3 linked regions of the Medicago truncatula genome follow. The protein of the gene in region 1 binds, or shares a complex with, the protein of each later gene. Links are inferred from orthologs where the notes say so. Each region holds a gene or a part of one and is shown on either strand. Other genes may lie near its edges. The genes, in order: sister chromatid cohesion 1 protein 4, sister chromatid cohesion 1 protein 2 and sister chromatid cohesion 1 protein 3.

Region 1 (10,705 bases):
TGGGCCTCTTATTATTTAATTCTGATCCTAATAGGCCACTTACTAATAATCTACTTAAACCTAACTATCTACCTACTAATTACTTAAAACACCACCTCATATTGGATCCTAACAGACTTACACTAACTTTTTGAATAATTTATAAATTGGCATGGCTCTTCATGATAATGTATGGTTATTCAAATGGAAGAGAAATTGAATATAAAACACAAGCATGAGTAAGGTTAAAAAGCAAGTAGAGATGGAACAGTAGACTTGTTCCATTGGAAGGGAGATGAAACAAAAGACTCAGACGAAAAAGACAGTTGAGATAGACAACTGGCACGTGAGATACTTTATTAAATGCTTTAATATGAGCCATCCATTTTAATCTTGATGGTTGAGATTCATTCTTATCATTCTCATATAAAATGTCATTTTCACTAGATATGTCCCCTATATATATGTGTGTGTGTGTGTGACTCAGATGTCGTGCCACCAACATGATACATCTATGCTTCTATTCATAACTTGACAACAAAATTGTAACGTCAGAATCAATATGTTGGGGCCTTGAAACAATATTTGTATTTCAATTTCAGCAATCCACACCATGCAGAGTGCCAAACAAATGCTAATTACCTCATCAAGGTCTAAACCAATTTGAGAAGCATCGCCATCTCCAAAGCGCTCTGAAAGATGTGCTTGATGTCAATCATTGCTTATAAGCACAGATTTCGTTATTTTATATTTAAAATTCACTATCAAGTGGCCAGTACAAAGATAAGGGTAAAGTAGAATACAAACCATCCAATCCAAACTGTGATGTTTTGTAAACCATGCCCTCCAAAGTATCTTGCAGTGTAATCTGCTCCTTACTACTGACATGGCGATCAACATAGTTACTGCAAGTTCACAAAACATATATAATCTTCTGTTAATAAACCTATAACTCTTCCACAGAAACCATCTTACATGAAATCACCTTTAATATAACCAAATTGGAAAAAACACAAGAAAATACAAGGTCTGCAACTTAAAACCAAATTATGTAACTAATTCGAAATTTGTTTCTATCAATCATTTGAAAATACCCAGGTAATAGCTGATACATAAGAGCATATAAATCTCGAACAATCTTTCAAATGAAACAAAATAGATTAACTTAGATAAATATCAGCTCAATTAAGCAAAAAATGTTGCTGCAGTAACAACAGCTGGAGCTACATGAAGTCATACAATCAAGTATTATAGAACTTACCCTTGAAAAATGTCACTATCTGGCAGTTCAAAATCATCAAGATCGAAAGTCTCGGGTAAGGTGATGGAATTGTAAGGTGCAGTGGACTCTTCTGGTGGCAAATCAACTGCGGCGGAGCGGAAAGCTTGCTTTACCTTAAGCAAGGCTTCACTGCAATCATCGAAAAGGTAATTCACCTTTCTAGAATATATTCTTACCACACCAAGCAGAAGATGACTGGATAAACGGAGTGCAATTGGTACTTCAGGAAAAAGAATGGAATCTGTTCATTCATAAAAGTGACTACATGAATAATGAATAAACTGAAACAATTATACGTAGTCAAAAGAAGACAACAATAAACACAGCACATGCATGTCAAACGTACTGAGGAATATCAATTCCCCTATAATTTGGAATTAATCCCCTCCAGAGGGCTCATAACAAAATTTGGGCAACAACAAATATTTCATGCAAGCATTAGCTAATAGGTAGTCCTTAATTCTTCACTGCATACAGAGTACAGACACATAACTATTCCTTGCCTTGCTTTTTATAATCAGACTACAGATATTAAAACAAGTTGCATGGCGTAAATTCACTGAGAACAATTATCACAGCCAAGGTTAAGTCTTTCATTTGGAAGGTAGCCTTTAGTTCAGAAAGAGCTGCTCACTTTTTTACACTATCCTGCAGCAGGATCAATCTGAAATAGACCGATCTAGTGTTGCCATTGCACTCCATTTCTGCCTTGATAAACAGAATCTGGAATAAACCAACTTAAGTGTTTTGTTGTCGGTTGGGTATGCCATCTTAAACTAGAACAACTTCTTCAAATAAACTTTAGGGGCTTCATTATGACTACGGAGGAGACTCTTGGGAAGTCAGCAATTACACTGTTCCTTGAGGAATTTTCCTCGTGGAAAATGGTTGTGCATTTAATTTCAGCCAATAAATCTGTTGTGCAATTCAATGTTTTTTATTTTACTCTCTGTGCACAGCTTATGGTCTCTTTTGGGGGTGTCTACAGCAGACATACAAGTAGATTGGAGTAGATTGGAAAGCTCTATTGTTGAGAATATTTGTCCATCTATTCTTTCTTTCACTTTTGAGCTCTCATTTTACAACATTTTCTATTCTTGTCGTTCCTTTAATCAATTTTATTCTAACCTCTAATGATATACTTCTCTACCTAGAAGACAATAAAAAAAAAAATCCAAAGCTAGAAAAAGAGAATCCATTATCTTAACCTCCAATTGAGATAACGGGCAGTATCCTTCGTTTTAGGTGGATAATCAATCAGGTACCATACCTCAACCCACTCTAGTTAGGTTTACTTCAGAAAATTTGGTTTCCCACTTCCACAAAGAATAATATACCATTATATCTTAGAGTATTCATAGCACTCTGAACTATCAACAAAGGTTATACAAATTAGTTTGAATTAATAATGTCATTCTTTAAAAGGATAGAATACAATTTATGATTTAAATACAGCGGGAAAAAAAGCAAATACACGAACAAAGCAGGATAACATATCCAGTATCCCCACAGAAATAAAATCATTAATGATGTTTAATGTTAAAAATATGCACAACAACACCCTAGAGCTCGACGTATTATTAGAATCCTATGCTCCTATCGACCCTAAGGATGATGTCAACAAGTCTAACCATTAGCAAAGCACCACAGGTCCATGAGGATATGAGGGGAACTCTTTACTCTACTAACATATGACATGGGAAAAACCCAAAAACTTTGCCCATAAAATCTTCGGAAATACTTCAATCACTTGAGTTGCAAGTAACCAAGATTTTACACTACAAAATGGTCAAAGTTGTATAATTATTAATTTGTACTACGCGGTAACCAACTGTCAGGAGATTAAGTATATGATTGGATGAGCATTCGTCAAACTTAAATTCGAATCATCTTGACTTTACAAAATTGATTTTAGTCGTGTTAAGTTAGAAGAAAACTAATTTATGTTAAATAACATTTCCACTAAGGGTAAGTTCATAATGAAAACTGGTTCAAAGCTCAAGTCAAAAGCAACATTCTTCCCGCTTCTACTCAAACGTGGATTTGACAACAAACGTAAAACATCAAAACATGCTTTTTTCGCAAACGACGATGTTTAATACTGCCGATTCTAACATACAATAAAACCACAAGAGTTCAAATCTGACCTACAAGGCAAAAGCAACATTTTCCACTTCAAGTCAAATGCAATTTTGACGACAAACTTAAAACATTAAGACATGTTCTTTACGCAAACGACAATGTTTTATATTGTCAATCCAAACAGCCAATAAAACGACAACAGTTCAAATTTGACGCGAGTGGATCAGGAAGCGGCAAAGACCAGTGTGCTTATAACACTATAGAAACTAGGGTTTTCAAAAATTAACTACCATCATAAATATCTACCTCACTAATCATGCTAAAATATCAGGGAATCAAAATATCGAAATCAATATATAAACAAACTAACTAACGAACTTACCTACAGAGACGCCAATATCCGTATCCGCCACCTGATTCTTTCGGAGCTTCCTCTCTAAATGTGCAGCTATCCATATAGTCCCAAGTGGACCTTTCTTCGCCAAAATAAACTGAGAGTAAAACATATTCACCTAAAAAGAATCACTTTTTCCCAAAATCAACACCAAACACAGCTTAAATCTCAATCCCCATCTACAAACACACCTAAAAATACAAAAATCATAGCCACTTCGTAAAACCCCTCTTTACAAACCCTAATTTCACTTTCTCCAAAATCAACCAAACCAAACACCAAATAGCTCAAAACCTAACAGAAAAATAATAAACTCGCGAGAATTAAGCTTTTAGTAACAGGTGAAGCTGAAGATCGAAGAAAAACGAAGCGAAAATGTGAAGAGTGTAAATTTGAAGCTGAAAGTTGAGAAACCCTAATTTGCAGCTAGGGTGAGAATTGGGGAAGAATTTGTTGGGGGAAAACGAGAAAATAGGAAATTTTTTGAGGGAAAATCGGTGAAATTGAAAATTGAGTTGAAATTTGAAAGAAATGAAGAATGATTGTGTGAAGAGCGCGATCGAGATTTGGTTCGGTTTTAATTTTTATTTATTTGAAATAAAAATTAATAATTAATCGAAGTCGTGAAGCATATTAGTGTTTGGTATGTCGTCGTGTCAGTGTCTGATTGGGTTAACGTAGTGACTGAGAGACAAACATGCACGTTTACTTACACTTGTTTCATTTTTTTCTTTTACTGCTATGTTTCCACTTCCACTTTCTACATTAGTATCAGTTGTATTTCCTTTTCTTGTAGTAAACTTTTTTTGTGTCGCAATTCCCATTTTGGTCACGAGTACCATTATATGAAGTCTAATTAACGGTAAAGAACAAAAACAATGCATCGGATGTTTACACACTTAACAACACTTTTGATCCGCTATATTCTAGTAAATTTGGCTCAATTGATAGGGATATTGCATATTATATGCAATGATTGAAGTTCGAACTCTAAATACTCCCTATGTGTCAGCTTTAGCTGCTAAGCTACTTGACATAAAAATAAAAAAAACACTTTCGATCAGCTCATGTCTACTTGAAACTATATGAAGTCTAACTAATGGTAGAATAAAGAAAACAGACCATGCATCAGATATTTACACGCATAATAACACTTTTGATCGGCTCATATCTACTTGAAATCAAGCAAAGGTTGGGTTGGGGTGAAACCAACATTTGTAAACATTTAAAGAAAAGAAAAAAAAAATATTCATCAGATGCCTTATCATCCATAATGGTATATGTTAATGGAATGACATTCTTCCTCACATCCTGAACAATTGCAATTAGTAACATCTCATGATACTTAACATACAACCATGTTCGATCAACTTAACGAACTGGCTTGCAATAAGCAAATCCCTTGATGCAAGGTTCCAAACTTCAAAAGAGACGTTTGAAGATAAACTTCCTTTGAACAACATGGATAGTTTTAATAAAGGAAAAAAAACTAATATAACAATTGACATACTAATATATGTCATTTAAAAAAATAAATATCCTCACTAAAGGACATCATTTCGATATCAATAATAATTCCTAGAAGATACTATCGAAGAGCGATGATTTCTTGTGGAAGTTTTTCCCAAATGAAAGTCGAAAATAATTGTCGACAATCTTGTGAAACCATTGTTGATGCACATGTATGTGGCCCTTGTAGTTTTATGATCTTCTAAACATGTGATTTCTTGCTAACTTATATGATTCTACACCTCTACCCTCTACATACAAATTTCATAGGTACAATAGGCAACCCATCTAGTCAGCGGCGGATCTCTTTGGAGACCCATGGGAGCCACTGCACCCCCAACATATCAATAAATTTTATATTATGCATCACATGTCAATTAAATTATGGTTGTCGCGTTGGTTTGAAAATCTTCCAATCTGCTGGAGGTCGTGTGTTGATCCTCTCGCCCTTATCATATTATATTTCCATTGTATTTTTAATATATTTGTTCAAGTTCAAAAAAATGTTCCTAATGAGAGTTGAACTGTCACCCCCCACATGAAAAACAAGCAAAAGAACAATCACACTAGTTCATTATATCGATATGTTTTTGAAACTGTTTAATATTTATTCCACAAATATTTGGCACCTCCAACAAAATAACTCAAGATCTGCCACTGCATCTAGTGGTATCAAGGTGTTCTACCACGAAGTTTGTGACTTTTTCTTATGATATTTTTTTATGGACCACATTGTCATTTCTTTTGTGGTTAAATTTGTCCCTTCTTGTAAGTTGTTAGGTTATGCATTGCCTTCATCTTTTATGTCAAGCAACTAGTCAAAATATTAACACTAAAAAAACACATATTTTTCTCCAAAAATGTTGTTAATCAACTTCAATATGATATTATACAGCATACTGCTTTCTCTAAAGTTAACAATTTGGAAAAATATATGGGGGCAAACATATCATTGGAAATAACTGATGTCATTTTAATCACATTGTGCGAAAAAATTCAAAACAAGTAAATTGGTTGGTAGCAACAATGTTCGAGTTTAGCCAACATAGTCAATATTCTAAATTTGCTCTAATTTGTATTATGATATGCAATACATGAAGATTCATAAATCTATTTGTGACGAGATTGAGAAAATTCTGTGTGGTTTTATGTGGGGACATGGATAAGACAGACTCATCACCAATGTATTCCATGTCTCTAAATGTCACATTACAAAAGTGTGAAGGAGGGTAAAAGAAGTGAAAGTCTTTGTTTTCATTGTCATTGATGACGTGTTGGATAAGAATGTCATCTTCATTCTCACATATCACTGACTTCTTTGTCGTGGACACCAACTCCAACAGTAATATGAACAATATCATTTGGGATGTTCAAACATAATGATGAGTTAAGGTCAATACCATGGGTGGATTCTGATGGCCAGTGTGCCGATGAAGAGAAAATGGAGCGATGATTTGTTTGTGTTTTTGATAAAAGGATATGGAGCGAGGGTATGAAAAAAGTGTTGGTTTAGTATATGGTGGCTCTTCTTGGGTTTCGTCACAGGGAACATCCACCAAACCTTTGTAAACCGCCATTGTTGAAATGCCAAGATGTTTACAAGTCGTGAACATTTCAAACATTGTAGGAAAGTTTCCATCTCCAATAAGATTTAACAACTCATACCAAACAATTCTTTGAACAAGAGTTGTAGGGTATCAATAAACAAGATTGACACCTTATTTAAGTTGATTGGTTGAATCTTTGTCTGGATACATTGGACAAGTCTATGCAGTTTGATGTTTTTCTTCGATTAACAAGGATAAATTGTTGCATGAAAATGCAACACCTTCTGTTTTGTCCTTTCAACATGTCCGTTGAAATATAATTGGACAAAAAATTCTAACACATCTATGTATGATTGTGAGTATAATTTCGTAAATAATTTTGATTGTATGGGATGGGTGAGAAGTTTTGTTGCATAGTAAATGAGGGGAGGATAATTTCTATTTATATTGGATTTGGATAATTATAAAAACTTAAAAGGTAGCTCAACTAGTTTAAAATAAATGTTAAAAAAAATTGAATGCTCTTGGTAGAAAATAAACATTAATCTAACAATTAACTAGTAATATTTGTCATTCAAAAATTAAAATTAAAATAACTTAAATTAATAAATAATTAAAATACGAATTTAATATTTGTTTTATTAATATAAAAAGGGAAGTTGAGAAATTGGTCCCCACAAGCTGATTTGTCACATAGCTATCGGGGAATACTTACCTACAGTTCCATACATGCTGTTCAGCCGGTTCTTCAAATGATTTTTCATTAAACGGTATCGTTTAAACAATTTTTGGTTGCATTAGTTGATACAGTTTTCGGCAGTTTTATTTTAAATTAGTAGGGAACCGTGTGAACAGTGTGTAGACACATCATGTAAGTATTTTCCTTAAAAAAATGGTACTTAGTCAATGATGTGATTATTGTCCTCCCAAACATATACATGTCCTACAAAATTGGTGTGAATGATCTTCAAATCATAGAAATTGATAGTACTTTTTTGTAATTTGATGGTACAGTAAAAAAGACTTCAAATAGTCATGCCAAGCGTGACTATAAACTAGTTTGTCATCAAAGAAGATAATGGAAAATTTTCTAAAGCAAACTTAAAATACATGATTGGTGAGTGATTTAAAAGTGACAAATGTCTTAATGAGCTGAGTAAAAATAGCAAATTCTCAAAATGGCCCCTGAGTTTTGGAAATGTTCGCTTACACCGTGTTTGGTAGAGAAGAAATAAGAAAGAGAGAAAGAGGGGAGAGAGAAATTGGGGAGAGATAGCTAATCTCTCATGTTTGGTTGAGAAGAGAGACAGGGAAGACATATAATACCTGCTAATTTTTTCTTATTTTCCATATTTCTCTTTGCTTTTGATCATATGGAGCCACTATTTTATCAATTATGTTTTCAAGTTTTTTGTTGGTTTAGCTGGTCGTGAATGAAAGCAAACCAAAATGCAACTCTATCCCTCTTTTATTATATATATATATATATATATATATATATATATATATATATATATATATATATATATATATATATAATTAAACTACTAAAATTCACCACTTAGCTTATTAATTGATTTAATTGACCAAAATAAAATATTTTAAATAATTAATTAAGAAAATAAGTTAATTAATTTATATGTAAGAAATTAATTATTTTTGTATTATTATTTTTATATGAAGTTAAATTCAAATAAAATAAATTTGTATATTAACTTTTTTGTATAAGGATATTTCAGTCATTTTAAAAATTAATCACACTTCTTTCTCCTCTATTTCTCTCTTTTCTCTCTTGTACCAAACACTATGTGAAATCTACTCTATTTCTCTCTTTCCATACTCTCTCTCACCTCTTTCTCTCTTCTCATTTTCTTCTCAAAACCAAACACACCCTTAGTGTCCTTTAAATTGTTCACAAATCCTCTAAAATGTCAAAAATACTCTTATTTTAAACGATGTAACTGTCAATATCTATTAGTTGAGGACCATTCGGAGCTCCTCCAGACAAACACTAGTGAAAATAATAAGGACCTTGCTAATTAGTAGTGTTCTCAAAGCACTAGTTAAGAAAGTAAAAAAATAGAGTTTTTTTTTTTAATTAAAAACAACAATTTTTTTGGCTTTTATCAAGTTGAACATTCTACTTTTACCATTTTCTAATTTTTATATTAATTTTCTTAACTAATGTCCGGAAACACTAGATAGCATTTTCTAAATAAGTAGGAAGCTCGACGAGGGAAACTAAGCAACAACCAGTTTTTCTATAGCTCAGTTTAACTTAAAGAACCTATTGCAACATGAAATCCAATGAAGAATGAATCTTCCGGCAATATTGATCTTAAAATATCAAATTTACGATGAGTGCAACAATTTCTATGATGTCCATACATATGCTTGAAAGAAATACAAAAATAAAATAAAAATAGAACAATACTTAAGGTGCAGGCAATTCTTAATGTTTTACTAAATTTCACAGTTTATGGTGTGTTTGTTTCAAGTTATAATTGTAGATTCGTTGGAATAAAATCATAAAAACATACATGCATATGTTTGTTACAAGTTTACTAAATTTTATTCCCGGGTATAAAATGTTCATGGGAATAGAAAAAAAATTCCAAGGAAAAAGGTGGGAATAAAGTTCCTAGGGAGATGGGAATAAATTCATAAATAGTTACTTATTATAATCGCTATTTTTATGGTTCCTAGGAATATTATAAAGTTAACCAAACATATTTTTCCTAAATACCTTGCAATAAAATTTTCATCTTTATATTCCAAGGAATGTTATTCCTAGAAATAAATTTGATAAACTTAAAACAAACACAACTTATTCCTGCAGAAAGTAGAGTATTGGAAGTTATCTTCCGATGCGCGGTTTGTAACTTCCGGCCGATTAAAACATAAGCATTTTTGGCTTTTTACTGTGTCTATGGGACACAACAATTTCTTTAGTTTTGCTTGCACTATTCATCGGCAACCATCCTTGTTTGACAACACAATTAATGAAAAATTCGTCGATTAAACTTGTTGCCTATAAAAAAAAATCAATTAAATTTGTTCATCTAAGTGTGCTCCTCTCGACTCTCAAGTTTGATTATCCTGATACCAATCTCGATACTCTAGTTTAACTTAAAAAAAAATAAAAAATCATTCGTATTTTCTAACCTTATATTCGGTATGAACCTAACCATTTTTGCTTATAAATTTTGGGGGCATGGGGTTCCATGATTACATACCAACCATTATTCTTCATGGTTACATTTTAAAAAATAACATGACAAAATTCACAAATAAACACTACGATCTTCCTACTTCGTCTTTATCGGCATCTTCTTTCTTCTGGGTGCCCAATTTGACAATGTCTTCCACCAATATTTTCCCATCTGTTTACGATTAACATAAATGCACAAAATAGCTGTCACTCATAAGCAGTTGAACACATTTTCATATTAAGATATTGGATCATCTATATAGACATTTTAAAGGTTACAGTTACCTATACCTCTGTTACCAACATTGAACGATAAATATAGAAGAATTTATAGAACCCTGACATGCACGGAAGCATGCAGTCATGCAGACAATATCTATTTCAAACGAACATAACCAGGCTAATGGAATTTCATATTGTTTGAGAGAACGGCATTCTTAAGTTGTCAAGAATACGATTTTTCATCAAAGTCCCACATCGCTTCGAAAAGTGTTTTTGACAAAATGACTATTGAGATAATAGCTATATTAGTTGTACAAATGTACTATATGCCAGTACATAACCTCCTTTTATAGTTATGAATTATGATGACAGCAACAAATAATTACAACCAAATGCTAGAGAATATAACAGTTTTCTAGCTCTCTAGATCCTCTCAGTGGTCATTGCTCACAGACATGGCTCCAAAAAGATGGTGCAAC
Region 2 (11,472 bases), about 26 Mb from region 1:
AATTGTCGGACGTAGCATCAAAGAGCTTAAGTGAAGAGCTTGAAGGGTCACACTAGTGATTGATGATTCAAAGACATCAAGAAGCACCAAATTCAAAGGGTATTTGAAGTTTTTTGGAGTGGTTACATAGGGGTTGAAGAACTAGGATAGTTTCAAGGAACTTTTGTAATTACATTTGTAATTCAACATTGTTACTATTAGTGGAAGTCCTTGGTGGATGTGTTTTTCACCAAGAAGAGTAGAGCATCCCAAAACAAGGACAAAAGGGCGAACTACTATAAAAATTTCGGTGTCGTTCTCTCTTCCTTATCCTCTTTAATTTTGATAATTGTATATGCTTAAATTGATTAGCTGATATAATATAAATTGATTTTGATCTAAGTTCTTTTTGGTTAAAATTGGCCTAATTCCTTGAATTAGGTTTTCACTATTTCACTTGGATCAATTAGTTTCAATTCCTAGCCAATTCATCAATTGCATATACATTGTGTTTTTGGTTTTTAGTTTGTTATATTTTCTTATATGCTTGGTTTTGAAATTGTCTTGTTTTGCAAATTGTTCAAGTATTATTAGTAATTGATTGAAATAAGATTTAGCTTGTGAAACTCTCAATTCTCTTGTAAATCTTATTAGTGCATAGTCTTAACAATTTGTCATAGTTTGTGATTGTTCAAAACATATTTCCAATAAGTTAATATCTTTCAAAACACTTTCGCCAAAACTCCGTAACATTTTTAAATCGCTATTCACCCCCTTTTAGCACACATCCTTATTGACCATATAGACCAACAAGTGGTATCTAGAGTTTGGTCTCTTCACTAACGGTTAACTACCGGAAGAGTTTATCGATATGGCAAATAAAGAGGCCAATGGGGCTTACAATAGAGCACTTATTTTTGACGGAAAAAATTATGACTATTGAAAATAATGCATGAGTGTTCATATTCAATCGGTCGACATGGACGTGTGGGATGCCGTAGTCAATGGGCGGTTCCAACCGCAAGTTGTTGCCAATGGTGTCGCACTAGAAAAGCCAAAAGTCGATTGGAGTGATGATGACAAAAAGAAGGTACAATATGATTTGAAGGTGCGAAACATTCTCATTTTCTTTCTTGGATTGAATGAGTATCATTACGTCTCTCATTGTAAGATCGCTAAGGCTATGTGGGATGCGTTGGAAACCCTTCACGAAGGAATCGACGACGTCAAACATTCAAAAATTAATACGCTTGTTCAACAATATAATTTTTTCCCATGGAGTAAGGTGAATCCATCTCCTATATGCAAATGAGATTCACTCAGATTGTTAACAAGTTGCAAAGCCTTGGTAAGGACATTTCAAATCAAGACTGAACTAACAAAATTTTGAGATGAATGGCAAGGGAATGGCAGCCCAAACTTATCTCTATCAAGGAAGCGCAAAATCTCAATGTTCTTAGTATGATCACACTCTTTGGAAAGCTAAAGGAACATGAACATGAGATTATCCGTTTGAAATCTAGTGAGGAATACTCAAAGAAGAAGGAAAGGAAGTCCACTGCTTTAAACACCAATTTGTCCGTGTCCATCTCTTTGGTTCAAAATGAAGATGAATCCGATGAATATTCAATCAATGAAGAAAAAATGAGCTTGTCTGTGAGACGATACAACCAATACATTAAGATAAATGGGCCAAAGCACAATGACAAGAACCTTGTCAACTTTAGGAAGGCTTTGCCAAATGCAAGAGAATTAGAAAAGGATGAGAAAATTGTTAGCTGTTATGGTTGCGGAAAAGTAGGCCACTATAAGAATGAATGTCCGGAACTAGCTAAGGACAAAGGGAGATCCGGATCCAACCGAAAATCAAGAGGAAGGAAGGCCTACATTGCTTGGGAAAAAGATGAAGTAACCTATAATACCAGTGACACCGAAAACAATGAAGAATATGACTTATGCTTCATGGGTCATATGAAGAAAGCTAAAAATGAGGTAACCTTATCCGACTCCGACTCTGATTCCTACTCCGATTATAAACCTACTTATAAGGATTTACAATATTCCATAGAAGAAATGCATGCACAATCCTTGACTGATTTTGAGAAATTAATTGCTCAAAAGAAAACCATTTTGAAACTAGAAACTGAAATTTCTAAACTTAAGGAAGCTTTTGAAAGTTTAAGAGATGAGCATGCTTCACTTGTCAATGAAAAAAATTGTAAATCCTACAATTGAGCCACCTAGTAGTAAGTACTTAGGAGGTGATATTACTGATATTGAGTAAAATCTGTTGAACCAAGGAGGTAACTAGTTAATAATTAAGGAAACAAGTGTTTGCTTGAAGGAAATAAGTTGTAGCCTAGCAGAACCATTCTCTTAAACCCTTGGTAAGGTAGAGGCTGATAGAGTTTCCCGTTTGTAGAACTACTAAGTGCGAGAGAGAGTGTGTTATGAGTGTCCTGAGATTAATAGATGGCTAGACATACAGGAACCTTGGCCTTCATTGCCTTGGGAAATCTTGGAAACCCAATATAAATTCTATGCTTTCAATCACCTTTGAGTTGGTAAGATCCCACACGTAAGGATAACCGTGTGACCAACAGGTGCAACTAAACTTTAGGGGATAAACCTAGTTAACTGAGAAGTATATACCCCACACGTGAGGATCACCTTGTGACCAGTAAGTGCAGTTTAACGACCGATTAGGTTAGTAACATCCAAACGGCCTCATCACTTGTATAGTCTGCCTAGTTATGGGATCAAAATGAAAACTGAAAATTAATTAAGGGACCAATAAACCAAATAAGCCCAAAGAATCTTTGGTCTCCAATACCTAGACCAAAGAAGAAGAAAAAAACAAACATGAGTTGATGTACTCTTCTGCACACTAGGGTTGAAATCAGGGGTTCAAGCAAAAAGCATCAATAAACCAGGGTTCAAGTTCCAAGAGACAACCATTCTTACGCTTCTTGCATCCTCTAGATAAGAGAATGAGAGCTCATAATAGCCCTTATCTAGAGAAGTTACTCCCCATCGTCCTAGATTCTTCCATAAGGGTTGTAGCTTTTCATGAAAGGCAACAATTGATAAAGAGATTGCACCATTGGGAAAGATCAAGCATGCATGTAAATTGTTCTTGCATGTTTCCAATCATTTGACATATCCATCCTTAAGGATTTGCGTAGCTGTTTTATTGCCTTTCAAACATGGTTTTGGAATAAAGCTGAGATGTATTTCGTACACAATGTTTAAGGCTTGTTCGAAGGTTTTTTGAGTTGTTTGTTTGGGTTGGGGTGGTGGTTTGGTAGCGATCTTAAGTTGGGTGTTATCTGTGAACCATGTCCAAGGTATTAAGATGTTTGTTTTAGGCATGGAGGTGGTTTTGGTCATGGTGGTGGTGGTTGGTACGAGGCTAGAAGATGGTAAATTACTGTTCATCACAAAATCGCCAGAGCATCGTATTATTTTTAGAGTAACTATATGGAGAAACCACCTTTGATTAAAATCAGGATAGGAAAGTAATTTGATTGATCTCAGGGCAGCCATTTTGAGTATTAGAGACGAGGGAACATGAGATGGGAATTTGAAAGATTGCTTCGGAGAAAGAGGAAATAAAATGAGAAAAAAATATCGGCCATTGATACTTTAATTAAGCAACAACCTAATGATTAGGAAAGTGAATCAGTTAATTAGTTGGACAATCAAGGCTATTGTTAGGTTAAGTCAATTGGCAAGAGTTAATGTTTTGACATATCATAGGCCGAGTAATAGGTTCTAACGACTAGTTCCCTACTTTAGGTGAAATTATGACATTGTTCACGCGTAGCTCTATTAATTGTGTCACATAAACTCATTTATCAAGGGTTAACAAATGATACGATTTAGGCGTTGCTTTTATTTACACTTAAATAAATTATCTTGTTAACCGAGCTCGACAAATAGGCGATTGAACTATTTGGCTAGGGAGCCTTCCGGTCGATTGAAGGTTAACTGATGATAAAGCAGCCGAGCGAGGGAGATGACTATTTCTCAAGGCCACTAACTCAGTATGTGAGACGTTGAAACCTCAAAACTAAGTAATAAACAAAGTGGGACTATACAAAGATGCGGGAAACTTGTGTACCATGTTTATAACACCACAAACCGCGTTGAGGAATGAGGGGGAGGACACGATTTCCATGGAGCTGTGCACTAAAGGACCTTGTCAATATATCATGTTGAGAAAGAGAAACTGAAGTCTAATGTGGGGGCTCACGATCCCACCAGCAAGGGAGTTTTCACACACAAACTACGAAATTAGTCGAGCAAAGGCTTATCATTGTAGATCACAACATATTAGTATAATATATTGTAAATAACACATCCAATCAACCAAACAAGTTTATTTTTCCTCAACATTTTTATCTCTTGGCCTTTCTACCTTAATCTTTAATTTAATGCATTTCTTAATGCTGCTAAAAAAAATCCTAAAACAACCATATGTAACACTCTACATGAAAAATAAGGGAATCCACAACCGAAAGACAAAGTTCATCCCTGAGCATCAATCACTCAACTAAATTTAGCTTCTATCACCAAAGCCTAATTAAAAAAACTTTGTAAAAAAATAATTAAAAAGGAAAAATAAGTTTTAAGAAAATAAAATAGATTCACTGCACCTTGTAATTAATGCAATTTCCTTCCTCTTAAAAATGTTTGAAACTATATCACGTAAATTCATTTAACTTATAATTACTTTATAAAATAAAAGTAAAATATTGACTATAAGATCCTACTGATATATATATATATATATATATATATATATATATATATATATATATATATATATATATATATATATATATATATAACTTTTGATATATTTTACTTTGCATTTATAATAATAGGAATACATCATAAATTTATAAGATTAATTTTCTCTTATATACGAGCACAAATTTTTTAGATTTTTTAGATTAACTTTTGTGTGGATTTATTGAGTTAGATTAATGTCCCCCAGTTTGTTAATATACATGAGCACAAATTAATTATTAGAGTCTAGCTGTAACACATTTCATTCTCTTTAACATTATTGTGCTTTTAATTTACAAAAAAAATATATTAATTTTTTTATATTATTATTCTCTTTTTTTTTTGACAAATAATATTATTATTCTCTATCAATCATTTAAAATTATTTTAAGAAAATAAAATAAATTAACGCACCTTGTAATAAATGCATATGCTTTCCTTGTTCAAAAAAATAAAAATGCATATGCTTTCCTTTTAAAAATATTTGAAATTTATCAAGTAAGTATTGACTATACGTCATCTAAATATTATTTCTATAATTTTTTTATTTACATAATAATACAAACATATTCCACAATTTAATTTGTCAATTCAATGTCTACAATGACAGATGTATGTTTACAATGACATTATAAAAACTAAATATATGTAAATATTCTTTTAAGATAAATGATATTTGAACAACTATTTTATGATAACTTTTTTTTTTTTCATTATATTTTTATTTTTTCTTTCTGTTGTTTTGATTTTTGTGCCAATACCTATATTCCTTTGACTCATATTTTTTACTCGTTAAAGATTATATGACCCACCAAACTTGGTGGGTTTCATATAAATTTTATGAAACATCTATAAAAGAGAATGTGTCAAAAAAAAAAAGTGTTATAAAATGTGTTTTTAGTATTATTTAGATAACAATGAAAAAGAGGATAATTTTGTCAAAAAAATAAAAATAAAAAGAGTATAAGTTTCAAAATCATTTATTAACACAATAATAAAATGAAATAAAGCAATAAAATAAAATTAGAAATTTTATTCATAAGAAAATAAAATAAATTTAATACACTTTATAGTCAAAGTAGATAGTAGATACCTTAATTGTCATTATAACAAAAATAAAAAATAATATTATTTTATTGTAAATTTTGTTTGATTCATGAACTTGGAGAAAGGTTAGTTGATATATAAGTAGTTTGTTTTTGGTGTGGCAAACTTTACTCGACCGTTTCTTATTTTCATACAATGTTTTCTGAAACATAGCAGAGTGAAGTGACATCATAGTACACTTTTTCTTTCATTCAAAGACAGAAAACAACATAGTACTTTGTGAAGAAGAAGAAGAAAATGTTGAAATCTAAGAAAGGGTTATGTTCAAGTAAAAATCCATTGTGGGTTGCAGCTTTTTTCTTCAAACAACTTAAGAAAGCTCAAATTTTGGATAGTGACATTTCTTCTGCTGTGGGTTAGTCTTTTCTCTCTCTTTCTCTTTACCCTTTCCCCTTTTTTTCAGTTTGTTTTGTAATATATGATGGAAAAACAACATTTTTTATTTTTTTTAGTTACAAATTTAACTGTTTTTGTTGTTTATTGGTTCATTGAGAGACAAGAAAATGGTTGTTTTGCAGTTTTTTTTTTTTTTTGGGTGTTTACTTATGATGTTCTTCTGTGTTTGTAAGTGGTTTGAGAAATTTAGTTTTTTTCTTTCTGTTTTACTAATTTGGGAAATTTCTGGTAAAAAGGGGCATTGAATGAGAAAAGAATGCATTGGTGATCAGAGAATTTTAGTGTTTTTTTTTAATTTAATTTTGTGTTTAATTTTTTTTCTTCATTTTTGTGTTTACTTGTGATTTTTTTCTGTGTTAAATTATTTGGGAAATTTGTGTTAAAAAGAATGTATTTTTTTGTTAATTGGTTGGTGTGTCATCGTTTTGTTTAAAAAGTTGGTGATCAGGGAGACTGTTTTACAATTTTGTTCATGTTATTGAGTTTATTTATGTTTTTGGATAAACTGCAGTGAAAATCAATGGTGGAAGACATTTTTGTCTATGACATTGTGATATTTGATAAAACCTAATTCCCAGATAAATTATAGGTCTAGGCAAGTAGCTTTAATTGAACATGAAACATAACAGTAGCTTAATTGAACATGAAACATAGACTAGGAGTTTAGTTTAGGTCGTTCAATTAGGCTTCAAACATACATTCTAAGAGAAGCATCTGCATTTTAACTTTTATTTAATGAGTCAAATTTGATAGATTCCCTGTAGGGCAATATCAAAATATAATCAAATGTAGTTTATAATTAGTTAATATCTGATTTGATTTGATATATTACATAGGATTTGGTTGTTATTTAGATAGGATGTGGTGTGTTATTTGATCGGATTTAGCTTATCCTATTTTCTAGTTTAATCTATTTGATTATTACTAAATATATTATTAAAGATCGGTAAAGAGAACTTAAATATGGATTATAAGCGAGTTGAACTAGATTATTAACGATGTTGTAAGCTCTAGCTATGATCCTCCATGTAGAATCTAGCTAACATGTTTTTCAAATTTTACCTTCGACAGACCAGATTTTGCATCATGAAATGGATGCTGTTTCCTATCGACTGCTCGGATATCTTCTTTCTGGTGTTGTTAAAATATACTCAAAGCAGGTTGAGTATCTACTCGATGATTGCAACAAGGTGCTTTTTGGAATCAACAAATTTGTGATCAAAACAAAGAGCAACACACCTGTGGAGAAATTGCGCATGTCTTTTATCATGCCAGAAACATTTGATTTGGATGCTATCGATCTCGGTACACCTGAAGATACTTCCAGGTAAGGTTTCATTAATTTCTGAAGTTTAACTGGTTAGGGACATTTCTTTGTTTTAAGCATTGCATAACTTGTCTTCTGTTGATTTCAGATTCCATACTGCTCTCCCAGAACAAATCACTCTAAAAGGTATTAAATTGTTTTAATTTTTTAATTTCATAGTAAATGTTTAATCTTGTACTAATGTTTACGTAATATACTGTGAAATGAAACAGATGTTTTGTCAAATACTGCGGGATTCATGCAGTTTTCTCAGGAGAGGGTACGTGTTCCATGGTTTTACATTATAGTTTATCAATCCTTTGAGGATTATCTGAATGATGTTTCTTCCATTTAACTTGATCAATGTAACTGTTTTGTTTATCTTTGGCTCTTTGCAAATATATGTCCAATTGAATCGTGTCTGTCTAATAAATGCTCTTTCTTTTCCCTGTTTATATATGTGTAGCTCTTATTGATTACTTCCCGCTTCAAGAAAATATTTTGTGGCCTAGAATCGTAAACTTCAGAGTTTGAGAACCTTGGTTAAGAGGCTTAGTTAGTTAGTTAGTTAGTTAAGGAGTTTGTTAATTTGTTATTCTGAGATTTTTTGTATTTTCGCTAGTAATACCAGTTGGTTTCTATCAGCATACAAGATGCTATATTTGCTTGAATCTCCAGTTAAAAGCGTAAACTTTTAAATGAATTGGTACTTTTGACATTCATATTCGACAACCACCTCATAGTTTTTCACTACATTCAATGTCGTGCAATTGTTTTTTACTTTTTACTTCAATTATGAATTTTGTGATAATAATGAAGCAAAAACAAAGGCAGAAAATATTTAATAACATTTTTCTTACAAAATCTATATGATATAATTCGGTATAAGTTTGTATTAAATAGAGTTGAATAATTGTACAATAACTATGGTCATCATGTATGTTTGAATGACTGGACTGGATCACCCAGTTAAATTGAATTCCGTCTTAATTGAAGTCATAATATGTTATAAGCTCATTGATTTCATATTGTTGACAGTATTAACTTTACGAAACAATAGATTTGATGACTTTAGAAAATATGGAAACAGTTCTGTTTTGATTCTTTGATTGGCAATCCTAAAAATCTTAGTTTTTGTGATTTGCAGTTTGACGATTTTGGTTTGGGTGAAACTAGCTGCTCTCTTGACCACTTTATGGCTGAAAAGTACATTTCTCAATTTTTGAAAATTTTGAATTCATGCTGCTGAATATCTTTTAGAATCAATGAATAATTTCTCCATCAAACTTATTGATTTTGTGATATGCATATTACAGTGTTCTTGAAACTCCATTGCTGAACTTTGACTTCGAAGCTTTTCCTTCGAGTAGTTCAACAAATTTACTGGCAAGCAAGGATATATTGCAAAGCCGCATATCCGGTCAAAATGTGGACGAGTTCCATGAAGAGAATAGAATCTCTCGAGAGGAATCAATAGATAAGAGTATGTTTTTGGGAAGACAGAAGGAAGCGGTTTTACCTTCTGCATCTTTTAATGAGTCTCGGCAAATTGGTATCGAGCATAATATGGCAATGGAATCATTAAGATCGTTATGCCAAATGGATCAGGAAAATGTTAGCGTTGATGAAACACTAGCTTTCCGCGTATCCAGTCAAAATGTGGACGAGTTCCATGAAGAGAGTAGAATCTCTCAAGAGGAATCAACAGATATCAGTATGTTTTTGGGAACACAGAAGGAAGTGGTTTTACCTTCTGCATCCTTTAATGAGTCTCGACAAATTGGTATCGAGCATAATATGGCAATGGAATCATTAAGATCATTATGCCAAATGGATCTGGAAAATGTTGGCGTTGATGAAACATTAGCTTTCCAAGAAAATGAAAATTTTCTTCACAACCAGTCTTCTGTTGTCAAAGAGTGCACCGGAGAACTCATTGAAGAGTCTATTGTTGATCCAACTCCTCAGTCTAAGTTTCAAGGAAATTTAGAAGTTCAAAAAAAGGTTTCATTTGAACATGGACAATCTAGTGTTAATCCTGCAGAGTCCACAATTCTTGATCCAACTCCTCAGTCTAAGTTTCAAGGTGGTTCAATCGGAAGGCCAAAACCAGGTTTATAAAACCATTATTTTATAGAATCTTTGAAAATGCAACTACTGAATGTTTTTCTTCATTTTTCGTATGTACTTCATTATTCTACTTATTTCTTTTTCGTACTCAACATTCTATTTTGGCAGGTTCTACTTCTACTACGTCGGAGTTTAAGCTTATTCCTACACCAACTGCAACCGAATCTGCTCGCTTTTCAAGGAAAAGAAAATTTGTTATTGATAAAACGATGGTCTTGCCTACTGAGTATGTGATAGATAATAAATACAGAAAATATTCTTACCTATTATTCTTTTCAACCATGCTCTTTTGCTATCCATTCTTATGTCTGAAGTTGTTTAATGTCATTGAGATTTAAATGTTTTTATTATTTGCTTCCTAGAACACAGGACTAGTTCAAAAGGATAGTTTTATATATCTGAAGTTCTTACATTCTAATATATATTTTGGACTTGAGTTTTTATTAATTCAGTTCTTTTTAGGACTTTCAAGTCTTCATTTTGCCCTCAAGATAGTGTTACTTTGAACTCTGACTGAACACGCTGCATTTTGATCCATTTCAGGGTACTCAAAAGGAGCATACTTGATGCAAGTGACTTGGTCTCTGTCCGAAGACCATTAGGTCTCTCTTTGCTTGATAAACACAGAAAATATCAGCTTTCCAGTCTTCTGGATAGATTCAATGAATCTCTGTTTACTTGTAAGTTTGAATTTATCATTTTTTCTTTTTGTTATAAACTTTACATCTTACTAACCTTGTTTTTCTGCAGGCCACTCCGCAAAGCTCAAGTCCTTGTTTTCAAGTAAGAAAATGAAGATTCCAAACTCTCTTAAGATAAAGGAAACTCTACCAGAGTCAGGTGTGTCAGAATCTCGAGCTGTTCGCATTCCAGACCGTATCGAAATTCCTCCAAGGTTCTCAGAAACTATAGGGGAGTTAGATGTGTCTCAGTCTCAAACTTGTGGTAGTTCGGATCACACAGCAGCTGCTCCAGAAACACCTCCTTTGTGCCCAAATGTGAAAGTTAGGACAGTTAAGCAACATGAGAGAACTGAAACTCAAAATTCAGATGATTTTGTGCCTTCAAGTCCCCATGAGAGAGAGCAATCTTTGGAAAGGAGTGCTGATATGGTTGAAGAGGTAATGAAGAACTAAACTATGAAATTTCTGTTGATATTTGGTACACCGTGAGATCTTTCACGTAAATTCATTATTCTCCACACAACTAACCTAGAAAAACCAAATTGCAGTTCAATGAAGAAACCTCAAATACATATGAACCAATGGATAATGAGCAATGCTTTGCAGTGGATGAAGATCTCAATCTCGTGAATGAGGTAACAACTATCATGTATTAAGTTTTGTTTTTCTACCACATTTATTCTTGAGTAGCTTGTGTGGAATTAGAGAGAACAGAGGCCACTGCCAGCCCTGGTCCGGGTTGTCCAGGCAGCAGCAGCGATGCCTGCTCCGATGATGTTCGGGCCACCGTCCATCACACCCTGTTCACTTCCGGGGCAGCTATTTGTTGTCGACCACGCCTGGTCAATCACCAGGACCGGTGTTGGTCATACCTGGACAAAGAGTATGAGGGGCTGTTTTCTAGATGTAGCATGAAACCATTGATATTTCATCACATAACAGTTCAAGCTTTTGTGATATTTGGTTCATGATAGAGTTATGTTTTTTGTTTTCAAGTACCAAAGCTTAGCTCTATCATTTTTCTGATGAAAAATAATCATAGTCAGCTTTTCGAGCGATGCAAATGTGAAAATATGG
Region 3 (11,039 bases), on another chromosome or scaffold:
ATAAGTTTTGGAGATTAAGGATATGCACTGTCAGCATACAGTTATTTTACACTAACATCCAATCATGTAACTCTTCAATTTTGCACATCAAGTTTGACAGTTTTTAAATAAAAGACGGTTATTTGTTGTGTTGGCGAGCTGAGATTGGTTGTTGATGTAAAACAATTTAATATCATTTAATCTCTAATTTTTAACTTGGAAATGTCATGACTCACCAAAACTTCAAAGAACATCCTAGCAGCAATCTTTCTAGTTTTTCCATCCAAGATCTTGTTCAAGCTGAAATCTTCAGCAGGTTGCTCCGGAATTGTTGTACATGGAGAATAATCTTTTAAATATTGAGCTAGACCCCTGGAATTTTGAAGAACAAAGTTAACATAACAACTTATGTGGCACAAATCCAAGTGGAAAGCTTTTCCAGAGCCTTTCGCTAAGTGATTTAATGTTACATGATATGAACAACTTGAACAAGAACATATATATTCTAAAATAGTAATAAATCGATAAGTACCTAGTCCTCCCAGACAATGTATCAATACTTCTACTTGTACTTTGTGAACCTGTCATTAAAACGTTTACGTCAACTATAATATCACTGTTGCAGAAACTCGCTATCCAATATTAACATAGCATGAGTAAAATACTGTCATGAATCAAATAGCAGATGACATGAAAATAGAACATACTGGCTGTGGCTGGTGTACTATCTTCTTCGAGAAACCAGAGGTCCTACAATAACAAAGGTTGATAAGATATTAGATTACTTGAAATGCTTCAATTCAACCAAAAGCAAAACAGTACAAGGATATTGTGTACAAGGTAGAACATGCAGGATAGCACTGTGATAGTTTGATAAGTATGAACAGAAGAGAACGTGTCACACGAAAATATTCATTAAACCATGGAACGAAACGGAGACCAACAATATGTCATAAGTATATCCTTACCTATCATAAGAGAGCAAAAAGATGCAAGTATAAATATCTCATTCAATTTTTTTTCTCAACTCATGTAAAAATGCTAACTAGAATAAAAGTTTTATGCTGAAATGGAACATAATTCATCAAGTGAGATTGTACAGAAGTATTCATAAAAAGGCGTTAAATCTTACGTCTTTTCCAGCAGAATTGATAAATTGATTAGTATCTGAAAAGTCATGGCTCTGCAATATGTTATCATGATATGTGCTAGAAGTTCCAGTTTCAGATGCATGAGCTCGAGGTGATGTTGCACCATATGGTATGTCCATTCCCTCAGAAACCGAAGTAGGAGTCGCAACACCTCCTTTAACAGGGCTTCTATAAGCACTTGGAATAATCTGTTCAGTTTCTTTACTTTGAGTTGGGATAGTGGCAGGTTGATCATCAGCAACGTCACGAATGTGTTCAATATCTTCCACACCAGATGCATTAACGATCTCAGGTGCATCTGTTATTGGCTCATCAACAACGATTTCAGGTGCATCAGTTGTTGGCTCGTCAACAGCAATTTCAGGTGCATCAATTATTGGCTCATCAGCAACTTGATTAATTGGAGGAGGAGTAATAGTAGTATTATCCGGATGATCTTCCTCAGAGATGACCAAGTGAGGTTTTGAACATATATATTCCCTTCTTTGTATGTTTAGAAGTTCATTGCATATTCCTGAATAAGAAGCCACAAGTTTCAATTGAGAAATTCATAAGGGAATGCAAGTACCAAAATTTTCAGATTGAACGATAAAGAACAGCTACCTGTAAATAAAGGCTGGTCAAAAACACCCTCCTTGAACCGTTTGCTCTTCAGTTCCCATGCACCCAAAGTAGTGACGTCCCTTCGCCTCCGTCGTATGTTACGAGTATCATTAAGGGCTCTCTTCATGACTCTATAGAGGTATCCCAACATGAGCAATGAGTATGGGAAAACCGTGCATTTCTACATGTAACTATATGTTGCAGGACACAAAAGCAGTTGAATCAAACAATGAAAAAATTACCTATTTGGTAACACTATGGGGTCATCATAGAATTGATTTCTCTTCCTTACTCTTTGAGGCCTCTCGCCCTGACCCTGACCCTCCATTTGAGGGACAGGACCCTGTCCCTGCTCCATTTGATGGGTAGAACTCTGTCCCTGCTCCATTTGAGGGGTAGGAAGCATCGCAGCATCGAAAGAACAACTCCTAAGAGATGGTTCAGAAATTGGCCCTGAGATTGAGTACGAAAAAATCAGTTATAAATTTATATGATTCATATGTAAATGTAAGAGAAAGGTAAGCACTGACCTCCATGAACTTGTCCATCTGAGGCACCACCTTGAGAAGCATCTGGAGTTGGTGGTCTAGCTGGTTGAGTTGGGGGGGTTTCAGCATGGATCTCAGGAATCATTTCAGGAGTCTGATCCTTTTCATGAACAGTTATATCGATATCCATATCTGTTGGAATATTTTCAACAGCATCATTGGAAGGATCACGAAGACTTTCCGGTGGCAATGTCTGTTTTGTAACGGGATCCTGAAAGATATGATTGTTATCATCACTAGTATGACTGGTAGTATGTGACTCTATATGGGAACTTGGACCACCATCTTGAACATCCACTACCCTTGTCGACGATGGAGATTGGGGAATAAATCTATAAGGACAAACAAAGATGTTGGTTCATAAGAGGAAACAGAAATGAAAATGCAACTAAACACCAAAACCAACAAAAAACTTACTCTTCTTTGGAATATATCTATAAGGACAAATAACAATGTATTATTCTATTGGTTCATAAGAGGAAACAGAAATAAAAATGTAACTGAACACCAAAACCAACAAATCTTACTCTTCCTCATTTGGTCTTGCCTCAGAATCTGGTAGCGGTTGTGCATTTGAAGGACTAAATGGTATGTCCTAAAAATACAAGAAAACAAGTAGATGAAATAAATTTCTAACTCAAAAAAAAAAAAAAAACATTATTCAAATTAAAGTCGTAAGTTCTATATATATAAAAGGAATGAGAAGGAAAGGAAAAAGCATGCACCTCATCGAAACGTATAGCCACATAATTATCCACTACAATAGGACTTCGATCTGCACATAGCATTAAAATATTTTAAACTTTCATGTGTTACTTAAAAAATACATAACTAAAATTATGCATCCACTTAGTTAACCTGCAAGAGTAATCTCATCTTGACTCCTTATGTGAGCATCCTCATACCTAAGACATAACCAATTTTATATCAGTTGATTAAAAAAATTGGTAATAATATGAAAAGATAAAAGAAAACTCAGTTGTATAGAGATTTTGATAATAGTATGAAAAGATAAAGGAGACTCTACCCGTTAAAATCTATTTCATAGCCTAAGTTAAGCGCATCAAGGTCAAAAGTGGCTGGCATGGTAATAGTATGAACCGGTGCTTGCCTAGCATCCTCAGGTAAAGTATTATTTGATACTGAAGCAAATACTTTGTACAAAACAGTCCGAACAAGATTGCAGTCGTTAAGAAGGTAATCAACTTTTTTCGAATAAATACGAACAACACCTAAGAGTAGGTGAGCTGACATCCTCAATGCAATGGGAACACCAGGATCCATTATATGCTCTAAAAGTAACATTCAAGATCAATGTCAATCACTACGTTAATCATTACAACAATATTGAAAAACATTGTAGAAAGCAGAACCTCTATACAATTGCTTAAAAAATGAAATTTCAATAAAAAAAAAAAACTAAGCTGATAAAAAACAGATTGGGTCCAATAAAGGATGAAACTAGCTATGACATAAAATCTGGGAACAAACCGATCATCCGGTCAAAAAATGGCAGTTCAGGTGATTTCACCAGTTGGACCACTATTTCTTTTGGGATTTTATTTAACAAAACACACTTATATTTATAACCAAAGCTCCACACCGATTATATTGTGAAAATTAAAACCCTGCAGAATAACATTGTCCATCATGAGTGACCGCAAACCCAGATGGAATTTTATCTGATTTTGAACAAGCTACAAACTTTTCAAGTTTGAGATTATTAAAATGTCTACAACAATGTCAACAGATATTGTGGAAAGCAAAAAACCTAATAAATAAAATCTCTAAATGCAAGTTTAGAAGAATAAAACAAAACTATCATACAAACAAAATCAACAAACAAAATTCAATAATTAAAATTCATAAATTACTAACTTCAATAACTTCCAAGGTCCTCAATTGGCACAAACACCCCACCATTCACAAAAGGAACAAATACACAAGGAAAATTAAAACCCAATAGAGAAAAAAAAATAAAAACTATCAAACTTTGAGAATAAAAACATTCATAAACATCCTCACCACCCCCACAATAGGAACTAACAGACTCAAAAATTAAGTCTAAAAGAATGGCTCAAAAATCTCAACAAATGACTGAAAACCCAAGTTTTGATAAACTTTGAGAACAAAAAATTATTTTTTGTTTTCAACCAAGAAAAAATAAATTTTTATATGAAAAATTAAAACCCAATAGAATGAATAACATTACCCCCTCAAAAAATTTCAAACCCAGATGGGTTTTTGACAAAAAAAAAAATTAGTTTTTTCTATTCAATCATAGTAAAATTAAAATACATTAGAATGAAGAACATTACCGCTAAAAAAAATCCAAAAACCCAGATAGGATTTTGAGAAACTTTCAAACTTTGAAATACAAAAAACATTTTTTTTTGACAAATGAAATACAAAAAACATATAATTCAATCAAGAAAAATTAATTTTTTTTATGAAAAACTAGAACCAAATAGAATGAGTAACATTACCCCCAGAAAAAAACTCAAAACCCAGATAGAATTTTGACAACAAAAAAAAATTATTTGTTGTTTTCAATCAAGAAAAAAATAAAAAAAATATGAAAAATTAAAACCCAATAGAATAAACAACATCAACCCTCCAAAGATCACAAAACCCATATAGGAATTTGAGAAAAATTTAATCTTTTAAACTTTAAGATGAAAAAAAAAAATTGAAAAATTGGGTTTTGAAGTAAATGGTACTTACGAACAGTGGAGGGAATATCAGTAGAAGCATACTGAGATTTCTTGAGTCTGTGTTGAAGATGAGCAGCGATCCAAACCGTTGAGAGTGGTCCTTTTCGCGCCAAAAACGTTTGAGAGTAAAACATTCTTCTTGTTTTTCTGTGTTGATTTTGTTGAAGAATTTTCAGAGAAATTAGGGGTTTATAAGAAATTAGGGTTACGATTGGTTTTATTTATTTAAGGAAAGTTTTTGGCGCGCGATTTTTGATGAAATTTTGGTTTTTTTGAAGTGCCGCTTTTTATTTTATAGTGTCGTGTAATCGTGTCATGGAAGTTGTGTGGTTGTGTTGTGTTGGATACGATTCGTGTGTGGGTTTGTAACAAAACACCTTGGTTCATCCTTAATTTACGATAACTACCATTGTTATATTTATTCAATAAATATTCAAATTAATATTTATTTAACAAATTCAGCCAACTATGTTTATGTTTCCGATGACACTATTAATAAATTCATATCTTAATTTCAATAACATTGTTAATATAACATTATACAAAGTCCGCCAACAATAAAACTTACTCTCTCCGTTCTTTTTTAATTGTCGTTTTCGTTTCTATTTAACCATCGTTTTGATATTTTAAAAGTATGATTTGTTAATTATATCTTTTGTCAATTACTCTTATCTTTTTTAATAAAATTAATTAATGCTTTATATATTTGGAAAATTAAATTTTGTTTTTTTTAAACAAAGTTTGTTTCTTGTTATCCTAAAATTTTAACAAAATTTTGTTACCTATAATAATGATTGAATAGTTAAAATTTTATAAATAAAATGAGCAGTAATTGTTAAAAATTTCAAGTGCAAAATAAAAGAACATATTTGGGAGAAAAATAAAATAAAAGACTGCATGAATGTTCAAAAGGAATAAAGAGTGAAAGACTCATTGGAACGGCTGATGATATAGTTGAAGATGCATTTGATGAGATAGAAGAAAAATATTTAAAAATTGACAATTGTTTGTTATAAGAGAGTGCAAAAAAAAAATGTTGGAGAAAAGGATAGTAACCAACAAATGTTTGTTACCAGAGAAAGATAACATATTAAATTTGTTGGAAAGAGAAAGTGTGTGCAAAAAAATAAAAATATATTGATGGATTAAAATGAGGTATAACAGGAAGAAAAGATTAAAAAATACACTTCGCTATTTTTGTGTTAATATTATAAAACGAACCCTTTAAAAGGAACGTAATAAGTATTTTAGAAGAATTGTTAAAAAGATATAATTGGAATAATTAAAAAAGTTTAAATGAGTTAATATCTATAGCTCACGATTATGATAGACTTCAAAGTTCAACAATTGTTAACAAATCTCTAAAAAATTGTTAACAAGTAATTTTATTATTTTATTTTATTATAAAAGTTCTTTAGTCCTTAGGCAACTTTTTGGAGTCAGAAAAGATGTTGCAAATTTCCTTTCTAATTTTTTGTTCTTTTTTTAGAAAATGATTGTGTATCTTATATATCTTATTTATGAATGTTCTGAAGTGTCCTCGTAAGCTTAACTCGGTTGGTAGAGATAATGCATAATATATGCAAGAATCCCGACCACCATAAAAAAATGTTGTGAAGTCTCTTCGACAAGTTTTTTGAGTCAAAAAAAGTTGTTGCAAATTTTATTCCTAATTTTTTGTTCTTTTTTATTTATTTTTAGAAAATGATCGCGTATCTTATCTTATTTATAAAAAAAATTAAGTCTCTTGGACAACTTTTTGGAAAGAATATGTTACTTGTCCTCGCAATCTACCTTATTGACCTTATTCACAAAAATTTGTGAATCTTCTCGACAATTACATAGATCATCCTCAATGGTGAGGTCTTCACCATTTAAGACCTAGTATCTAATAGGTACCTTCATTGAGGAAAAAATTGGAGGTCTCTTAAGACCCAAGGTCTCACTTAAGACTCTCATTCTTAAGTGGACCTCACACCACTTTTTAATAAAATAATGATTGTTGAATTGCTTTTGTTGAAACGTAAATGATAAAAAGTTATTCCTAGAACTCATTTAAATATTTTGTTAAAGAGTCTCTATATAAATGGTTGAGTACCTCTTAGATACTGTTATTACAAAATTACAAAAAAAAATCCCTCCTCAAATATACATCAGTTTCTCCAATTCCACAAAGACCAAGAAGTTACCATAAATATACTCGAACAAGATATGTTAGTTGTTGCATTCCCTTTATCTCTACATGTTCTAAAAGATCCACTCCTTCGTCCCACTCGAGAATAAAGCAAGTGATATTTTTAGAATCTATTAATCGAAACCAAATTTGAGTAACATGCATACAAATACAATCACGAAGAATATATCACATTGACTCGTCACTCCTTCGTCACAGTTATTGCATGCATTAAGGATATCACATACCCTCAAAGTGTTATCGATCACTACAAAAGAAGACTGAGCGTGGTGGATTGCATTGTTCACCATAAAATTTTACTTGTCAAAACCAAGCATGATTTTTTTTACCATCACCAACTTGCCATAAAGTGTTTTGATGAAAACTTTCTCAAACTAAGGCAAGAGCTTCTGGTGAGGGAAGTCATAATTCTGAACCCACCATGAAGTTAAAATAATAGTCACAAGAAAACGAGGTTTAGATCGCGACCCTTTTAATTTTTTATCTTTTAAACTAAACTTTAGAATGAGAATAGACAAATATGATTATGAAGCATGGAAGTGCACAAATTCAATTAAAGTGATTTGGTGTGTGATATAAGTTTAATGATCTAAATATATAAATAAAGAGTAGGGATAAGCGAGTAAAACACAAGATAATAATGCTTCACTGAATGTGGATTAGTTCAATCCCCACAATTTTTAATATGATGCTTAAGAATGCTTCTCCGCGCCTTCAACTTATGATTTTGATGACATTTACGTTGTATTCTCAATGCCTCGACATGCTTACACAAGTTTTTCACATCCTATTCAGACTACTAACACTCACTTAATCCTTCTTTACACCCCAAAGAAGATTAAACAAGTTCTTACATAAAGATAAATTCTAATTTCACTGTGTAGAATTAGTATGATTAAAAAAATACACTTAGAATGATATTGATACAAAGATGCAGTGTGAGTGTTTGAGTTTGTTTTCTGATAATTAGTGTCTCATTTGTAAAAAAAAAAAAAAATTGTTTTAAAATGAATGACCCTTTTGATTCTCAAGACATTATTAATTACTTCTTTTTCAATTTTATACTCTAATTAATAATCCATCCATTTCAAAACGAATGTCATTTAAGGTTTCTGCATACATATTAAAAAATGCAATAAAGTTGTCTAAAAATATAACCCTTTTACTAAACTACCCTTATTAACTATTGATGTATTTCCCATAATAGAATATATTACTTTGAATGTAACATCCAGCTAAATTCTCGACAGACCGCAGTATCAGTGAACGTGTCAAAGAAGAAATATTATGAAGGGTTAATTATTTGGGGACTTCTATGGTACACCCGTAAATTACAGTGTACCGGTACCATCACTTTAATTTTTATAAATTAACTATCATTTTTTATGAAGAAAATAAGTGTTTGTTGACATATACTCCCTCCGTTTTAAAATATAAGCAAAATTCACTTTTTAGGTTCATTCATTTAATGGCACATCATTAAATGAATGAACCTAAAAAGTGAATTTTGCTTATATTTTAAAACGGAGGGAGTATATTTTAGAAAATATCATTTTATATAAAAAAAAAAACACCATTTCATTTTTTCTAAAAATCATACTAATTTTTTTACATTTTATTGTAAAAAATACTCAAAATTCTCTATTATGAGTAATAAGAATTCAGAAAAATCAAATTTTATTGCGTTGACGTTTTTGGTAAATAAGATTTAGTTATTATAATTATAGGTGATAGAAAATAATTTTTTCCTACAAAAAATAACTCATTTAACTACTCCCTCCGGTCCTATTTACAAGAGACAATTAATTTTTTAGATACATTAAATAATTTATGTATTTGGTTTAGATTGATCTTGACTAGATACATAAATTATTCAATGTATCTAAAAAGTCAACTTTCTCTTATAAATAGGACCGGAAGGAGTATTAATTTAAGGATTTGGTGTACCAATACACTTAAATTGTTGGGTGTACCATAGAACTTACCTAATTATTTAATGGAGAATATTTAACATACAGTTTCAATTAAACACACATGTTCGGTTATCGGTGTCTTTAGTGTGGCTTAGCAAGACTTTTAATAAAAAAAAGGGCAAGATGGTCATTTCTCCTAAGCACTATATATAGTCATTTCATTTCATCCACTCCATTCTCTCTTTCCAGCTGAAGCCTTTTCCCAGTCTCCTTTCCACCAACTTCACAAGTTTTCCACCCAAGTTATTTTAATCATACATGCAATGTTACCAACTTGATTCTCATCACATATAAGCTCTAAAAATAAGTTCAATGTTACTTTTCACTTCCTCTCAGCCGAGCCCTATTTCCACTTATGTCCATTGGGAAAATTGTAAGTTTAAGCCCTTATGGTTGCTGCATGTGTGTTTAAGCTTTGGTTATGGTTTGTTGGTGTGTAGAAACATGAAATTGAAGGAGAAGATAGCACTAAGGTTGAGTTTAGTTGCTTGAAGCTTGGGGTTTCAAATCACGTTGGGGATGAGCTTGTGTGACAGAATCTCTAAGAGCATAAGCTGACCCCCAAGAGTTGTTAGAGATAGAGCTGGTGTTGTATCTTTTGGCTGTGGGGATTATGGCTGAGTTTCATGAAATAGCGGTAAGCTCAAGTTCTGGTTTTTGATTCGTATATCTTTATGTATGGCTTGGAATTGAATTATTGTTGAAGGTTTAGATTCCTCATTCAATTCCCTTCAGTTTGAACACAAACTTTGTATGATTTGGGCTAGAAACGGATTCGGAAAACGCATTTGAAGTTGGTAAATTCTGCTGGAATTTGGTTAGGGGTTTTGGGACAGGGCTTCACCAAAACGGTAAGAACTCTCTTGCTGTAACTTCAAATCACGTGAACTTTGTTGCTATGGTTAGCTAACGAAATTCCCGACATTTTGGTATCGGTTTCATGATTTTAGGTTCAGCATTGAGGCCTGGAGGAGAGTTTGAAGTAAGGGGACTGATATGGGTTTTGTGTTGAACCCAAGGAATCGAGTTGTTTGTGATAAGCTATGGGCTAGGGTTTGGTGTAGAAGCTTAGGAGCTTGAAGCAAATCTCAGTAAATACATGTGAGTTCTTAGTTAGTTCATACCATTGGGTTTGTGTGTGTGTACTTTTGTAAGAACTCATGCTATGTTAGTTTATGAATTAGGTTTTATTAACCCCTTTGTGCCATGAATTGCCCAAAACTATGTTAATGTTGACATGCATTTCATATTCTATGGTTTTATGCATTCTGGATGGATAGTGTGCAGTAAGGGACTTGATTTTGAGGTTTTTAAGCCAAAATACGTGTTCTGCAAATTCTGGGCTGAAGAAACACGCCATACGCGAAAAACTCGCTTATCGCGTGTAAACTCCAGCAACAACGTCGGCTCGTTCTTAGGCCCGGCAAGGGCCGTCCGAGAGGCCCGTTTTGTGCAGTCTTTTATAACATATAAACCCCTCAATTTCCAAGTGTCTAATGTACAATCCAAGTTAAGCTTTTAAAAGGGAAATGCATGATGAAACATTAACATTGTTCGACAATGAATGGCACACGAGAGTATATGATACTAATCATGCCGGGTAGTAACCTAACCTCTAAGCATTGGGAAACTCATAGAGCCTCGACTTAGATAGTCGAGAATAGCCATGTTACTATGTAACCTAAACACGTCAAGACATGTATCAATAAGAGCAAGCACGTAAGTATTTACCGCTATACGGATAGATTACGGACCCATGGTAATCATTTCAAGTAAGTATAAGTTAATAGCCCTTTATGTATGAATAAGACTATGTAAGTATGAACATGTCGTCTCTTTCCGTTATCCACGCCAGGGGATACGAGAGGTTCACGTTA

The links.
Region 2: sister chromatid cohesion 1 protein 4 (region 1) and sister chromatid cohesion 1 protein 2 share a complex: the UniProt entries of both Arabidopsis thaliana proteins name them as parts of the cohesin complex. The link is inferred for Medicago truncatula from reciprocal best matches to the Arabidopsis thaliana genes SYN4 and SYN2.
Region 3: sister chromatid cohesion 1 protein 4 (region 1) and sister chromatid cohesion 1 protein 3 share a complex: the UniProt entries of both Arabidopsis thaliana proteins name them as parts of the cohesin complex. The link is inferred for Medicago truncatula from reciprocal best matches to the Arabidopsis thaliana genes SYN4 and SYN3.

What each region holds. Positions count from the first base shown.
Region 1 is NC_053048.1:37,440,900-37,451,604, forward strand, and holds the start of sister chromatid cohesion 1 protein 4, read right to left. Parts: upstream 4,338-10,705; 5' UTR 3,850-4,337; coding exon 3,726-3,849; intron 1,503-3,725; coding exon 1,241-1,502; intron 885-1,240; coding exon 787-884; intron 672-786; coding exon 622-671; intron 1-621. Other genes in the region: mitochondrial proton/calcium exchanger protein, read right to left, coding at 10,091-10,176. UniProt on the Arabidopsis thaliana protein: Involved in sister chromatid and centromere cohesion during mitosis.
Region 2 is NC_053048.1:11,361,744-11,373,215, forward strand, and holds the start of sister chromatid cohesion 1 protein 2, read left to right. Parts: upstream 1-5,986; 5' UTR 5,987-6,117; coding exon 6,118-6,235; intron 6,236-7,347; coding exon 7,348-7,603; intron 7,604-7,691; coding exon 7,692-7,729; intron 7,730-7,815; coding exon 7,816-7,862; intron 7,863-8,729; coding exon 8,730-8,788; intron 8,789-8,898; coding exon 8,899-9,695; intron 9,696-9,820; coding exon 9,821-9,938; intron 9,939-10,255; coding exon 10,256-10,392; intron 10,393-10,462; coding exon 10,463-10,833; intron 10,834-10,943; coding exon 10,944-11,030; intron 11,031-11,472. UniProt on the Arabidopsis thaliana protein: May be involved in sister chromatid cohesion during mitosis.
Region 3 is NC_053044.1:389,844-400,882, forward strand, and holds the start of sister chromatid cohesion 1 protein 3, read right to left. Parts: upstream 5,256-11,039; 5' UTR 5,130-5,255; coding exon 5,006-5,129; intron 3,574-5,005; coding exon 3,309-3,573; intron 3,187-3,308; coding exon 3,140-3,186; intron 3,057-3,139; coding exon 3,007-3,056; intron 2,877-3,006; coding exon 2,809-2,876; intron 2,614-2,808; coding exon 2,264-2,613; intron 2,187-2,263; coding exon 1,976-2,186; intron 1,865-1,975; coding exon 1,734-1,864; intron 1,645-1,733; coding exon 1,112-1,644; intron 730-1,111; coding exon 687-729; intron 561-686; coding exon 512-560; intron 352-511; coding exon 216-351; intron 1-215. UniProt on the Arabidopsis thaliana protein: May be involved in sister chromatid cohesion during mitosis.